Arabidopsis thaliana: one gene and its partner. The protein of the gene in region 2 purifies or fractionates together with the protein of the main gene of each other region. This does not show direct contact. Each region holds a gene or a part of one and is shown on either strand. Other genes may lie near its edges.

Region 1 (8,568 bases), on a different chromosome or scaffold from region 2:
AAATAAAACTCACAACACAATTGTTTGAGACACTCAAACCATGAAATCATCACATACAACTTTAATCTGTATAATCATGCTCTCCCTCTTTGCTCTGCATGAATGTACGTACATAATTTTGTTTCTTCTCGTATCAATTACCTTTTTTCTCTTTTTCTTTCCATTGTTAAATTTGGTTTTGTGTGTATGTTCAAATCAATGTGTAGGTGAGAAGATGGAGGTGAAAGAGATAGGGAGATCGAGCAAAATCATTTTACCAGCGTGTATGCATGAGACTTGCTCCGGTGGTTTCTCACTGAAAAATGATTGTTGGTGCTGCTTGCGACTTAAAACTAAACAAGCTCGTTGTTGGAAAGAAAAAGAATTTCCCAACGCTAAGGAGCTTTGTTTCGCCAATTGTCCCCCTCTTGAATAATTTTTATGGATTCTGTCATTTCGAAGCAGATTTTTTTAAAAAACGTTGATAAATCTAAATATGTATGTTGCATATTCGATTTAAGGTTTTTTATGACATTTATTTCGATTTTAGTGGATTCCTTTACATTAATGTTACGATATTCTTATTTTCTATAATTTAAATTCACTGAATATCAACCAATTACATTTCTAAATAAAAATATATATTTTATAGGTGTTAGATAATCCAATTACAGTTGCCACCAAAAAATATGGAATTTAAAACTAAATTACAAGTATATGATATTTAATTTGGATGGGGTTTGTTAGGAAAAGATAAAATAATTTGCATAGTTTTAGTTTTTGAGTCAACCAAATGGATCAATAGATTAATTGAGAAAAAGAAAAGAAAAAAGAAATCAATCATAATGTTTTCGAATTTTTTGGAAAGCTTATACGATGGAATCGGAGACGATGACGCCGCCGACGACGACGAAGACAACAACAACGACGAGAAAACCCCGAAAGCCTCAACGGAAAGACACGATTTCTCGAGAAACGCCGTTCGTTTGTCACCGGAAGAGGAGGCTCAAGCGCGTGGGGTTAAAGATGATTTGACGGAACTTGGTCATACCCTCACGCGTCAATTTCGTGGTGTGGCTAACTTTCTCGCTCCGTTACCTGATGGATCTTCTTCTTCTTCCTCCGATCTATCGAACCATCCCAGGTTTAACCAATCTCGGTCTTCAGATCCTGGATTGAATCAATCGCGTTCTTCAGATCGGGACGAATCGTGTGTTGGAAGTGATACGCCGGAGACTGGAATTAGGTTTAGGAGCTGGGATTTAGAAGAAAAATTGGCAGAAGGCAATGATCCGGAGGATGAGGAAGAAGAAGAAGAGGAAACAGATGAAGAAGAAGAAGAAGAAGAAGAGATCGCTGCGGTTGCTCTTACAGACGAAGTGCTAGCATTTGCGAGGAACATAGCAATGCATCCAGAAACTTGGTTGGATTTTCCTCTTGATCCTGACGAAGATCTTGATGGTAACGTATACATTGAGTCAAGTCTTTCGCTATTAGTCTTCATTGATTTGACTTATAGGCATATCAAAAGTTTGATTATTTCAACTTTTATCTAATGTAGATTTGGAAATGAGTGATGCTCAAAGAGGTCATGCTTTAGCTATTGAGCGTCTTGCTCCGAGGTTAGCTGCATTGAGAATAGAGCTTTGTCCATGTCATATGAGTGTTGGTTACTTCTGGAAAGTCTATTTTGTTCTTCTTCTTTCAAGGCTCAATAAACACGATGCTCATCTTTTGTCTTCTCCACAGGTTAAAAAAACCTGAATCTCAATCTCTTCTTGAGTCAAAATGATTCTTTGTTGTTGCTGTTGTTTATTCAACAAAATCCTTTTGCTTTTGCAGGTGATGGAAGCTAGAGCATTGTGGATGAAAGAGCTTCAGAATCAGACACATTCTTCAAAAGAAAGTAGAGATATGATTCTTGAGGAAGAAGATATTACACCATCAACTTCTAATTACTACAACCATGCTCCTCCTGAGTTTCTTTCTCCAAGAATATATGCTTTTGAACCTCCTTCGATTATGTATCGCGATTTTGAACACGGGTTTGAAAACGCTCAGTTCATCGATAAAGCTGTTATTGAGGAAAAACCAATCCAGAAGAACGACAAAAATAGTGCAAGCCTTAGCCAAACATCTAAAGATGTTGTTGATGATGATGATGATGATTGGCCAGAAGAAGAAGATTCTGCTAATTCTTGGGCTCCAATGTTTACAGTGAATGAGGATGATGTTTCTTTCAGTGATCTTGAAGGAGACGACGATATAAGTAGCTTAGCACTCAAGTCTAAGATTACATCAAAGGGCACAGACCAAAAAGGAACATGAAACATCATCTGGCTTGTTGCTTTGCCCTGCCTCACGAGATCGAATCAATAGAATTGAACATAAGTACTGTGTGCTGAGTCAAATCGTGGAAGTCTTTTGGGTGAGTTTGATTGTTTTGTGGATTTATGATGTTTGCTCTCAAAGAGAAGGAAGAAAGAAAGAAAAAGGTTTTGATTGAAACATGTACAGAAGATTTACTTTGACACTGCAATTTCATTGTAATGTTCTCTCTCGCCAAATGTAATGAAATATTGAAAAGCACTATTTCATTCGCGTGGAACTTAAAAGAAATTGATAGAGAATGGCGCAAGTGAATTCAAGTGTAACAAACTGTTAGAATCATTATTGGATTGGAAAATCATATGGGATTTTATTGCTTATGTTGAGGATTTGTATGTATGAAAATGGGAACAACCAGGAGGAGCTATCATCAATTAACAAAATAACTCCTATGACTTAACTAAAAAACAAATCTATGTTGAAATGTATAACATTTGTCAAAATGCTAGTACTTTGTTAATAATTAAGGGGTGTTATTGGTTTGTGATTTATATAGAGTTTTAGTGATTTAAAAATATTATATAGAATCTGATGTTATTCAATTCAAATTTTCATTTTTTTTTTTTAATTTGGTATTATTAGTTTAAGATTTATAAAAATTAATCTAAAATCTTCGTAAGTAAGATTGCTTCCCTAATACAGAGAAAGAAAGAAAAACCAAGTAAGATTGGTAATACGATGTCGTTTCGCAGAATAATGCAAAGCTGAACCCAATTTAATAAGCTGCACTTTTCTTTCTTTCTCGAGTCTCCCGTCGTTTTTTATGTCAGAACCAATTCGTCAGGTCGTGAATAAGTGACTTTATCGACGAACCACCACTCAGCTGCAGCAAATGATCGTTTAGCTCCGGCGAAGCGTAAAATTCTTCAGATCTCTCTGGAATTAATAATCCGTCTGTTTGATCGATCTGATTCGGCAAATCCTTGAGAAAACAAGGAGGGAAGAAGAAGAAGAACATGGCAGGGGCGGCCTCAGCGCTGTTTCTGCTCGATATCAAAGGTCGTGTTCTCGTGTGGCGCGATTACCGTGGCGATGTCACCGCTGCTCAAGCTGAGCGTTTCTTCACCAAACTCATCGAGACAGAGGTGAAGTTTTAACATTTGGAACTAATGAACAAGCTTGATCAGTGCTTAAAAGGATTCAATTTGATCAGAATCGTTATACTTATGACTAAATGACTAGTGTTTTCTCTGCGGGTTTGCTTACTTTCGTCTAATATGTTCAGGGTGATTCACAGTCAAATGATCCGGTTGCTTATGATAATGGCGTGACCTACATGTTTGTACAGCATAGTAACATTTACCTCATGATAGCGTCCAGACAGAACTGTAATGCTGCCAGTCTTCTCTTCTTCTTGCATCGTGTAGTCGATGTAAGCATCCCTAGTGATTCAGTTTTTTGCATTTCCATCTGTTTTCTGAATTTGAAGAAAAAAGAACGGCACTGTTTCATATGTTACAGTCTTATACTGATCGTAGGTCTTCAAGCATTACTTCGAGGAGTTAGAGGAAGAATCTTTGAGAGATAACTTTGTGGTAGTGGTAAGATAATGCTTCTCACATCTCTTCTTATAACTGTTTTCCCTCTTGCATGAGGTGGATATGTGTGGGCGAAAGTTATTTCTAAAAACATTTACTTATGTTACTGGCAGTATGAGTTACTTGACGAGATGATGGACTTTGGTTACCCTCAGTTTACTGAGGCAAGAATCCTTAGTGAATTCATCAAGACTGATGCATATAGAATGGAAGTTACACAGAGACCTCCAATGGCTGTCACTAATTCTGTCTCATGGAGGAGTGAGGGGTTAAAGTTTAAGAAAAACGAAGTAGGTGCTCAACATTTTACTTTTCAATTGTTTTAGGTTTTCTAATGTTTGCAGACTGATGTTTTGTTTTCCAGGTTTTCTTGGATGTGATAGAGAGTGTAAATATCCTTGTGAACAGTAATGGGCAAATTGTCAGGTCTGATGTCGTTGGAGCTTTGAAGATGCGAACATACTTGAGGTGCGTTCTCTAGTGTCCCTAGTTAACCAACGCATTTAAAATCAAAAGTCCCTCCTCTTTGACTCTCTGCTTCTTTATCCATGTTATTACAGTGGAATGCCAGAGTGTAAGCTAGGCTTGAATGACAGAATATTGTTGGAGGCACAGGGACGAGCAATAAAAGGAAAAGCCATTGATTTGGAGGACATCAAATTTCATCAGTACGTTAATCTCTTGCAACTTTAAACATTCTTTGACAGTCACTCTATCGAGGCCAATTTTTTTACTAACTCGAAAAATTATTGAATACTTGAGTTTTTACACGTCTCTTTCTTCAAAATGTAGGTGTGTTCGATTAGCCCGTTTTGAGAACGACAGGACAATATCATTCATACCACCTGATGGATCTTTTGATCTTATGACGTATAGACTCAGTACTCAGGTTTTAGAATGTGTAATATTGCAGAAATGGTTTTGTCCCCTTCTTAAACGAATTATATCATGATATATCTTATTTTCGCATAATACTTGTTCAGGTAAAGCCTCTTATATGGGTGGAAGCGCATATAGAGAGGCATTCCAGAAGTCGTGTTGAGATGCTAGTAAAAGCTAGAAGCCAATTCAAGGACAGAAGGTAAGTAACAAATGTTACTTAACACGTTTAACCATTACCTGAAATACTGAAATACTGGAATCCTTTAACGCGTTTTGATAAGAGTTCCTTTTTTCTGCAGCTATGCAACAAGTGTTGAGATTGAGTTACCTGTACCAACTGATGCGTATAACCCCGATGTAAGAACATCTCTCGGGTCGGCCGCATATGCTCCTGAGAAAGATGCACTGGTCTGGAAGATACAATATTTCTATGGGAACAAGGTAAGTTCTTATAGTTTAATGTAACACTTGACCATGTAAAGTCGAATGCTTACATTAAGTTTTGAAACAATGTAGGAGCATACATTGAAAGCAGATTTCCATCTTCCAAGTATAGCCGCAGAGGAAGCAACGCCTGAGCGAAAAGCTCCAATCCGTGTCAAATTTGAGATCCCAAAATTCATAGTTTCAGGAATACAGGTTGGTATTACTCACAATGATACGTTATTATCATATAGATCACATTCTTTTTATATTACTGCATTGAAATCTGAAGGCAAACAAACCTGATGTGTGTTAATTATGGGTATTGCAGGTTCGATACCTGAAGATCATTGAGAAGAGTGGGTACCAGGCACATCCATGGGTGAGATATATAACCATGGCTGGTGAGTACGAACTGAGACTCATGTAAAATGAGATCGTTTTTTTGTTTTTACTATTATTTAAGCCATTGTCAACGACACAAAGCAGAGGAAGATCAATGAGAAAAGGAAAAAGATTGAAATATATTAGCTGATAGAATTTGCGGTGAAGGTTGTTTTAGAAGCCATTTTCTTGTGAATTGTTTCATGGCGTTCTCTTTTTTTTTTTTTTTTTTCTGTAAAACTATATACGACAGTTATATATATATTGGGTTACAATTGTTAAACATCGAGTTTTATTTGGGGTTCTTTCAGTTCGTTTACCGATGGAAAATGCATGCAGTCTGGGTGACTACACCAATAATGGTTTTCCTTAAACGTCCGCTAATTTTGTAAGAGTTCACTATATAAATAACTTTGATGAGGCAGTAGAGCAACATGACGAACTAACAAATATTATAATTTTCAAAATGGAAGATATATATTTTACAGTACAACAAATCGAGAGGAGAACAAGAAGAACAATGAATAATCTGTATTAGTAGTAAATAGCCTAAACAAAAACTTAAGCCCTCAACGTAACAACCCTAAAACATTTTTTTTTTGCATGTGATCAATGTACAAAGTTGTTTATTCTGGGTGATGATGATGAACGAGGAGAAGAAGGAGATTGATTGGGGAGAGTCTGAGGAATCTTTCTAAAAACATGTTTCCTGCAACGTTGGAAGATGCTGTCGTATATCAGATCAAACTGAACACCAGCTCTCTCTCTGTTCACTATGAACATTATGTGATCTGCTTCCACTATCTTATAATACCTGCAACAACAAGGTATTCAGATTTTCTCAATCCATCAACGTCATTAGGTCATATATGATTCACTTACCAGATCCCGGGTTGTAATGTTTGACATTCCGAATCGCTCCTTATGAACCGGCTCGGATGCTCAACAGGTAGCCTCGGATGTGTCATTGATATTGTGTTCAATGCCCCGTCGTTCTCTTGCCAGTCCTCATCCCTTCATTCAAACATGTTTTCTTAGACCAATGCAGCAAGGGCTTCAAAAATCAATGTTAAATTTTTGAGTGTTTTTGAGTACCTGTAGCCTTTATAAGGAGGAGAGACATCTTGTGGGAATTTCCATTGGCTCATCTGAAAGACGCGGAGGAAGAGCATCGGGTGGATTCCAAGAACACCTGAAGGGATTGTCATACCCATGACTCTGCGGGTGCGTTTAGTCGCGTAGCTGAAGTAGTAAGTGTTTGGGAACGTCTGGAGATTGGAGTTAATACTTGTTGAGCCTTGGATTGTGAGATCAGGTAAGATCCAATCGCCAGAAGCAAAAGGACCTGCGTTTCCCATTAGGCAATCAACGAGACCTCTCACACCGGTCTTCTTCCAAGAAATGTTGAAGTGATCGAACCCGAAATTGTAATAAGTCTTTAGCCATGAAATGTCCAACCAATCGTACATTATCACGCCTATACGACACAGCTGCAACAAACATATCGGTTTCATGCTCACTCCATCATCTGTCCTGTAACAGCAACAATAAGAATCAACAATTAGGATAAAAGATCTTGGTTTTCTAATACAGGAACATACAATTGCTTCAAAGATCAAACCTTATTTCAAAATGAAGAAACAGGAACATTCCAATCAATTGTAAAGATCCATGTAAATACCGAAAAGAATTGAAAATGTCAGAATGAAAACTAACCGCATGCCATCTAAGTAGGTCCTGGTAGTTCCATTGAATGCCCCGGATAACGATGTCACACTCAGAACCCAATTCTCATTCGTTTCTTCAAACCCTTCAAATGCCTAAACATCATGGTTTCGCATCATTCATCAAACATAGCTTTTAAACCAGAAGATATGCTTCCATTAAAAGAAGGATTCGACACAAACCTGATCTGCAAGCATTTGCTGCAATACACGCACAACTTGCGCACCCGCTGAATGCCCCACAAAATGAATAGGATGATCCTCATCCCATTCAGGGTATTGCCCTAAAACACATACCAAAATCAGACTTGCATTCAACATGAAACATTTGGGGTATATTAGTAGTCTCTTCCAATGAGCATTCATATCAAAATCTAACCTTGTTCGTATCTTCTTCCAAACCGAGAATGTCCACAAGCCTCGCTATGCTCTTCGCCAAAATCAACTACCCCTCCTTTCAAATAATAGAACAATTCCCTTGCCCTGGAAACCAATGTTATCATCACCACAATGCACACATGGTATATCAAGATCTAGATCAAAACAACAAAATCCTAGGAGGTGCAAAAAATGAATCCAATACCTGTCATAGATGCTTGTTAAGGAACCCAAATCAGGAACAAGAACCCTCTCATCTTTCTTCTCAGCACCGCCAAAGTAAGATAAGCCTCCTAATCTCTGCTCAATCAAAGCAATAAGATCAAACCTCAAAACCACAATCAAATAATCAAAAGAACCAAATTTGAGGGGTTTGTTTTTGCATTACCCCTTTGCCAAATCCAAAGATGCCATGAACCAATACAATAGGAGGCAAACCCTCAACATTGGTTTGATTTTGACCGGTTTCTCCGAAAGCGACATTGGACTTAAACAAGTAATCATTCAACGTCTGAGAGATATCTCCGGCAACGGCGGAGCTAAATATATAAAACCCATAAAGCAAATGCACAATAGAGCTCACGAAGAGCTCCGCGAGTTGGAGAGAAGTCATCATCCACAACTTAATCATCTTCTTCTTCTACTTCTTCCCCCAAAAATCAAAAATCGGAGATTTAATAAAAATGAAAAGCAAAAAATCGAGGTAAAGGAATCTCCTTTATCCTAAAAAATCAAAAACTCCCCGGAAGAGGGGAGAGAAATAGAGAAGAGAGCCTTCTTTCAAAAGAACATAAAGAAGATGCTCCTTTGACGAAAACCCAGAAAGGAAGAAAATTCGAAAACTTTGAATTTCCCCGAGAAAATAAAGGAAA
Region 2 (7,371 bases):
GCATGGACAAATGGGGTATGTTCATATCGATGACGTTGCACGAACCCACATAGTCGTTTTCGAACACGAAGCAGCTCAAGGCAGATACATTTGTAGCTCTAACGTTATCAGTCTAGAGGAACTCGTTTCATTCCTATCTGCTCGTTACCCATCACTCCCTATCCCCAAGAGGTTTGACACTGACCCTTTAAACTAAACCATCTCTCAAACCTTGTAAAATTTTAAAATCATAGATCATGATGATACTCTGTTTGAAAATTTCAGGTTTGAGAAACTAAATAGGTTGCATTACGACTTTGACACCTCGAAGATACAGAGTCTCGGGCTCAAGTTCAAGTCCCTTGAAGAGATGTTCGATGACTGCATTGCCTCATTAGTCGAGCAAGGCTATTTATCTACTGTTCTTCCATAACTCTTGGACTAGAGAATATGTGCAAATAAGATTGGTCTGAAATAGTAGTCATGTGGATTCACAATGAAAGAATGGGATTGGAAAACATGAAATCAAAGATTACAAACGATATAATCTTTACTTGTTTATGAACCAAATCATAACATATTTCTTCTCTCCAAGTTACGCTTTAAGACGAAAATCCCTCCGCAAGAAAAATCAAATGGATAAAGATTTCTCAAAACAATTACTGTAGCCAGAGACAGGGAACATACTTTAACTGCATAAGAATGCATAGATGATGAATAAGACTACTTATCGATTAGTAGCCTGAGCGATTATATTACTTATCGAACTGGCCTCCTCTTTTGCAACCTCCACCAGTTGATCCTTTGACAACATAACAGACAGAGACTGTCATTTCTCAAGAAAAAACTACTACACTAATATTTTCATGTCGATGACTTAAACATACAACTCAGTACCTGAGCGGATATAATCCTGGCTACTGTTTTCTTGCTTGACTCTTGAAGCTCCCCAGCAATCAAGAGCTCATCCAATATGTAATATGCCTAAGAAAGCAACAAGAAATCCAGAAACTGTCAGCAAGATATAAAGATGCAGAGGATAGAGAATCAAGTGACGAATGGCAGAGTCCTTGAGTGTTTGCAGCATGCTATTACCTTGTGGAAGTTAAAAATCAAATCGAGTTCACACACCTGAAGGTCATCAGATAAAACAATTCCTTATCATAATTTAGAGGTTCCGTTAAGGTAAGAGATAGTAAAGGTGGAATCTCAGCAGGTGCTGGTTTTTTTGGTACTCACACTTCCAAAATAGCGATCGAGAATCTCAACATAGTGATGAATGATCTCAAGGACCTCTAACTCGTTATCCTCCTGATCAATGCACATGCAGAAGTAGAGACTTGCATATCTTTTGTAAACAACTTTGTATCCTCTCCATTCAACAAAATTGCAGAGCTTTGGACCTCGATTCAGAATCACTCCACTGAGTTCACGTATAACCTATATACATAGCATGTAAGATGAGAGATGTATGCTAAAGCATAACAAGGTGTGAATGAAGCTCAATACATACCTTAGATCTTTCCTTCTGTGCATAAGGAGAATACCATTTGGTGAGCCTTACCTTTCCTTGCCGGCTAACTAGAAGCACAAAATGTATCTGAAAACACACAAATCAAAAACACACCATTGGTTTCTTATTAGGATCATCAACTCACCAGCTTAAGAAAGAGTCCAACAAACAAAGGTTTCAAATTTGAAGCCATTGAACTGAACTAGGAGGATCGAAACTACGAAAAATCAAACCCAGAAGCTAGCATTATCAAACTAAAGTCACCAAATTTTCTATCTGCAAAGAATAATTTGAAGAGAAATATCTGAAACCACCGATCAAGAGCAGATCCAAGTATCAAACTAATGAAGAAGAAGCATAAGAACGAATCGGAGATGCGAAATTCAAATCCAGGGCAGCATTCGTAAACACAGAATCGAAGATCGAGCATTGTTACCATGATTTCGTAACTCAAGACGGGACAAATCTGTAGTAGCGAAATCCAGAAACTGATAATCGATGATCCTCAACAAGAAAAAAATTCTCTTTGCTCAAACTGTCAAACATGTCGAGTGCCAGGGGTATAATTGTCATTTACATAATTAAAAACGGATTGCATTCCGGGTCGGATCCATGCAAACGGATTGCATTCTCAGCTAATTTTGTTCCATTATTGCAATTATCTTCTTAATCTTATCGAATAGACCAGGGCATTACACATTAAACGTAGCAATTATGTCAAAAGATTTTGAATGAAAATAATTCTTCAATTAATCTTATAGAATTAGTTTCTTAGGTATCAAATTTTTTAATTGTTCTTATACTTGGTGCTGGGTCAAACAACAGAAAAGTATAAGCAATTTTTTTATAACTAAGAATGAAAATATAAAATGCAAATGTAAAGGTAAGTCCATAATCAAAATAGACATAAACAACAGTTTTGATAAGACCCAACAGAAATAACTCCTGACTAACGTGAGCAGCGACTAATGGACACAATTGTGAAGTTATGAACATACTTAATCTCTCACATAAGCTTGTTTTTATTTAACCTTGGAGGGAAGGCATATTCTCTTGCATGCAGGCTTTATTTTTATTTTCTTTGATTTTTGTTTTTCTCAAGTTTCAATGTGTTTTGAAGTTGACATCATCATAGATATTAGGGTTTTAGTTGTTCTCCCAAAATATTCTTTCCCTTCTCTGCGAGACAGTGGAAGTTCAGTTTTATCACAAATTAGAACATGTTTATATGACAATAATCGGAAGATTTAGTTAGAGCCTTAATGTGTGAACATCAATTTACGAATATAATTAAAGTCCATTTTCTCCGTATTACTCACCTAATAATTAGGGGGGAAATGTTATTTAATACCTGAACTTACAAAAAATGGCCAAATTAACCGTGAATTCGTGAAATGGCCGTTTTATCTCTCAACAAAAAGTTGACTTCTATTTTAACCTTTAAGTTTGCGTTGACTCGGTTTAATAAACCACCGTTAAAAATCCTTCTAACAGCGTAATTAACAGCCGTTACAGAACATCCGTTAAGGTGATACGATGACGTTTTGTGCTATCAACAGACTTCAAAGTCGACGAAACCTCTGAAAAATCTCCAAATCAAAACCCAAATCCTAAAAATCATTCTCTCTCAAATTCGATCTGCTTCTCCTTCCGGCGTTGTTTTAGCTGCATCTTGTGCTCCCTCTTCTCCGCCACAAGACTCAGATACCACATTCGTTTCACCCCCAACTTCTTCTCCAATTTCATCTCTTTCTCCTCGCGGTGGTGCTTCGACTCCATCTCCCACCAAATTCTCTGATTCGTGAAGCATTGGAGATCCAATCCTCATAACGACGCCATTCTTTCTAACTAATGGCATTTCAGAAAACGAATTGAAGCAATTAGGGTTTCGATTTTGATTTTGGGGGCAGGATTAGGTTTCGATTTGGGTTTAGGGTAATTGATTTTGTTTTGGGAATTTCTATTCTCGATTTTGATTTCTCTTTAGCACAAAACGTCATCGTATCACCTTAACGGATGTTCTGTAACGGCTGTTAATTACGCTGTTAGAAGAATTTTTAACGGTGGTTTATTAGCCCGAGTCAACGCAAACTTAAAAGTTAAAATAGAAGTCAACTTTTTGTTGAGAGATAAAACGGCCATTTCACGAGTTCACGGTTAATTTGGCCATTTTTTGTAAGTTTAGGTATTAAATAACATTTTTCCCTAATAATAACATTTTTCACGATTAATATGGTCGATTTGACATTTTTCTGTAAGTTTAGATATTAAATCACAAATTAATACTATTTTTTTTTTATGAAACTTACCAATTCTATTCATAAAAACAAACAGAAAAAGGAAATTTAAGCGTTCGTTTTCTTTTTTCACACACCAAGTTTTAAGAGAAACAAAAAATAAATAAATAAAACCTAATATTCGCATTTCGCAACCGCTATAGCTAGTAGCCTAGTAGTTTGAGGTCAAACACGCAAACGCAACAAAAGGTGTCACCAAAACGCTAAAACTCTAAAACGCGGGTCTAGTCGCACCGCCACCACCTCCTCCGCTACCGCCGCTCATACCGTAAATATCTCCCCCGGAGAATTGAAAATTGTTCATATTCATTCCAAGATTGTAGAAAGCAACACCTCCTCCACCATTTCCACCTTGGAGGTTTGACTCACACGCCTGGGCCCCACTCCCCGTAACCTCCGACGACTGAGACGCCTCCGGCTGCTGCTGCTGCACCCCGGTGGTTCTCGGCGGTGGGGTTTCTTCCTCTTCAATCGGTAACCTATCATAAACTGCGTTTGCAAAAGAAGCAGCCATCAACACTACCGGTCCCGAAGCAATTAACGAACCAGCCACATTCCCTCCTACAACTTGTCCTTGACCTCCGGCTAGATACACCGTCAAACCTCCTGCTCCCGGTGGTGCAGGCGGTGGAAGCGCAGTACCGGTCAAAGACAAAATGTCAAACCGACCATGCAGGGTAATCACACCTCCACCAGCCGGAGCCGCAGGTTGCCGTATCGTGACGTTAGTGACCGCACCCGTGCCGCTTATAATGCAAACGCCGCAGCCGCGACGAGTGGCGTAGGTGGAGACTGCCTCGGATATGTCCGAACCGGAGGTGACTTCAAGAACGTGTGATCTAAGGACGTTAGGACTATCTCTAGTTATAATCGTCGGAGGTTTGGGTTTGTTTTTGGAACCTGCAGGACGACCACGTGGACGACGTCCGGAGGAAGAGCCAGAGGCTGTGGCTGAGCTGGTGGCTCCACCGGTGGGAGTGGTCTCGGCCTTTGCTTCGTCTGCTTCAGATCTGTTAAGTTCCATGTTATTTTGATCAGGTGGGGTTCTGGAATCTTCAGGTCTCTGTAGATGCAGTTCTTGCCCTAGAAGAGGGTGCATATAACTAGACATTGATAACAAAAACAAGAAACTGTGGTTTGGGTTTTTGGATTTTTTTGGTTATAGCTAGTGAGAGACAAAGACAAAAGTCGACAGAAGTGGTTTGTCACTGAGAGTATTTCAGAGACTGAGTTTGATTATTAATAATGCTACGGACAAAACAAGAAGACGACAAGAGAGAACAAAACCTTACTGAATAATTAGAGAGAGAGAGGTCTACATATGTGAAAGAGCTGGGTCGGTGAAATTTGTCTGGACCCAGATCTAGATCTTCATGTGAAATGGAATGAAACAAAGGAGAGAAAGAAGTAAAGCAAGAGCATCACAAAACACAGCTCTCTTCTAAACTATAATAAGGTACATATAAATATAAATAATACAAATATATTTGTGTATCCATATAATAATATGTTGGGTTGGTGTAGTGACTTTTCCTCGAGTGAAGCAAAAAAACTAAATTAAGATGTTGACGACCTAAGAAGGGACTGATGGATTCTGCGGGAGACAAAAGAAGGATTCTGGAGAAGTAAATCACGGAGATAGAGAAGTTAAAGGAGAGGCCTTTTGTGACGGTGAAGGGATGGTTTTGTGATGGTGATATGATGATTGTAGATTTGTTTTGTTTTCTAATCTTAAAGCAAAAAAAGAAAACAAAGCGAATGTAAATTGTTATTCCAAAGTCAAGTTACGCTGTTTGATTTCAAGAACTATAACCGACCAAACTATCTGTTAGTGTTTTTTGTCGGTAAATAACATAACGATTGTCCTCTTTTTATTTATTTTTAAGTTCAAACTATTACATTTTAGTATTTTTACAAAATTAAGATCGGAAGTTTTAAAATACTAGCATTTGCTCTTACCATGAGTCTATAGATATATAAATCATGTGTGTTTAATTAACATGACAAGAACCAATTGCTGAAAAAAAACTAAAAATAGTTTTGGTCATTCAAGATCTTTTATTAAAGATCAAAACATAGGAGTAGTAGTTATTTTCCCACCTAAAACTTTGATTTTAGACAATGAACTGGAAATAATTTTGTTCTCTCCTAGTTAATCATGCTGATATATAAACTCATATGGATTACTTTCGAATATTTTCTTTTGAGTGGTGATGAAGTGATCGGACGAGTAAAGCTCAAAAAGAATTTGTGTGTGTAATGAGTAGAGGAAGACAATGAATGGGGCTTCATGGCTGTTATTTGTGAAAAGAGTGGTGGATTTCACATTTTCACATGATGAGCACTTTGCTTTCTTCCTATTTCTTTTTTAGTTTAAACTTTTAGATTTCTCGAGCCACTCAAGACATGGCTTGGCTTTTTTTATTTTATAATGTTCTAATATCAAAATTGCTAAAACTTTACAGAGGGGGCGTGTTTTATGTTACAAACAAAGTAAGCTGAATTAATTTTATGCACATGCTTGCCAATAATACTAATTCGATTTCAACGACTAATGGATGGACATGCATCTTAATATGGCTTCTTAGTTTTTGTTACTTAGCGTAAAGACACATTTCAACAGTTCTTAGGGATTTTCACGATGTATTTAATTGGTTTACATAAGAATTTAAAAATTTAACAATTATTTAAACAAAACATTTAAGTTTTTAATAGTACTATAAAAATATAAGTTTTCATATTTTTTTTCAAAAGAAAGTGTTAAAATTTTTAATTATGTATAAACCATATTAAACTTATAAAAAATTTAACACTTATAAAAAAACCTTTAAAGTTTTAATAGTAATAATAAAATATAAGTTTTAAAATATTTTTTAATAAAACAGAAACAAATGTTAAAAATTTTAAAAATGTGTAAGCCACCTAAAACACCTCTGAAAAGTTTTGATGATATATATCCAACTAGTGTAGACAACATTTTAAAATCTAGCATTTATCCAAAAATATTTTAAAACTTTAAAATTTTAAAAATTTAACACTTATTTTTACAAAATTAACACTTACACAAAATTTATTAACACTTATAAAAAAAATCCTTTAAAGTTTTAATAGTAATATAAAAGTATAAGTTTTAAAATATTTTTTATTAAAAGGAAAACAATGGTTAAAAATTTTAATAATGCGTAAACTATATTGAACCTAGAACACCTCTTAGGGGTTTGGATGATGTATCCAATTAGTTTACACAAAATTTAAAATTTTAACTTTTATCCAAAAAAACCTTCAAAATTTAATAGTAATATAAAAGTATAAGTTTTAAAATATTTTTTAATAATAATAAAAAAGGTTAAAAATTTAAATAATATGTAAACTATATATTGAACCTAGAACACCTCTTAGGGGTTTGGATGATGTATCCAATTAGTTTACATAAAATTTAAAAATTTAACTCTTATCCAAAAATACCTTTTAAAGTTTAATAGTAATATAAAAATAAAAGTTTTATTCCCTTTAAAAACAAGAAAAATCAAAGTTGTTAAAAATTAAATGTTGTAAACCTGAACCTAAAAATAAAAAGTTTAT

The links. Proteins that work in one complex are often made in the same cells at the same time.
Region 1: the proteins of AT4G35410 (region 2) and AT1G10730 fractionate together in Arabidopsis thaliana (co-fractionation; one large-scale study listed by BioGRID). This does not show direct contact.

What each region holds. Positions count from the first base shown.
Region 1 is NC_003070.9:3,562,140-3,570,707, forward strand, and holds AT1G10730 (Clathrin adaptor complexes medium subunit family protein), read left to right. Parts: upstream 1-3,117; 5' UTR 3,118-3,323; coding exon 3,324-3,452; intron 3,453-3,592; coding exon 3,593-3,739; intron 3,740-3,845; coding exon 3,846-3,908; intron 3,909-4,018; coding exon 4,019-4,195; intron 4,196-4,269; coding exon 4,270-4,373; intron 4,374-4,465; coding exon 4,466-4,573; intron 4,574-4,697; coding exon 4,698-4,794; intron 4,795-4,888; coding exon 4,889-4,986; intron 4,987-5,086; coding exon 5,087-5,228; intron 5,229-5,303; coding exon 5,304-5,426; intron 5,427-5,541; coding exon 5,542-5,640; 3' UTR 5,641-5,967; downstream 5,968-8,568. Other genes in the region: AT1G10717 (EMBRYO SURROUNDING FACTOR-like protein), read left to right, coding at 41-104, 207-415; AT1G10720 (BSD domain-containing protein), read left to right, coding at 825-1,440, 1,541-1,728, 1,822-2,307; AT1G10740 (alpha/beta-Hydrolases superfamily protein), read right to left, coding at 6,204-6,408, 6,477-6,608, 6,690-7,127, 7,311-7,414, 7,502-7,602, 7,698-7,801, 7,902-7,996, 8,085-8,327. UniProt on the Arabidopsis thaliana protein: Subunit of clathrin-associated adaptor protein complex 1 that plays a role in protein sorting at the trans-Golgi network and early endosomes (TGN/EE).
Region 2 is NC_003075.7:16,827,132-16,834,502, reverse strand, and holds AT4G35410 (Clathrin adaptor complex small chain family protein), read right to left. Parts: upstream 2,165-7,371; 5' UTR 1,932-2,164; coding exon 1,929-1,931; intron 1,580-1,928; coding exon 1,493-1,579; intron 1,420-1,492; coding exon 1,219-1,419; coding exon of another isoform or gene 1,189-1,218; intron 1,111-1,188; coding exon 1,075-1,110; intron 964-1,074; coding exon 877-963; intron 782-876; coding exon 707-781; 3' UTR 501-706; downstream 1-500. Other genes in the region: DRL1 (dihydroflavonol 4-reductase-like1), read left to right, coding at 1-171, 265-412; AGF1 (AT-hook protein of GA feedback 1), read right to left, coding at 4,001-4,900. UniProt on the Arabidopsis thaliana protein: Subunit of clathrin-associated adaptor protein complex 1 that plays a role in protein sorting at the trans-Golgi network and early endosomes (TGN/EE).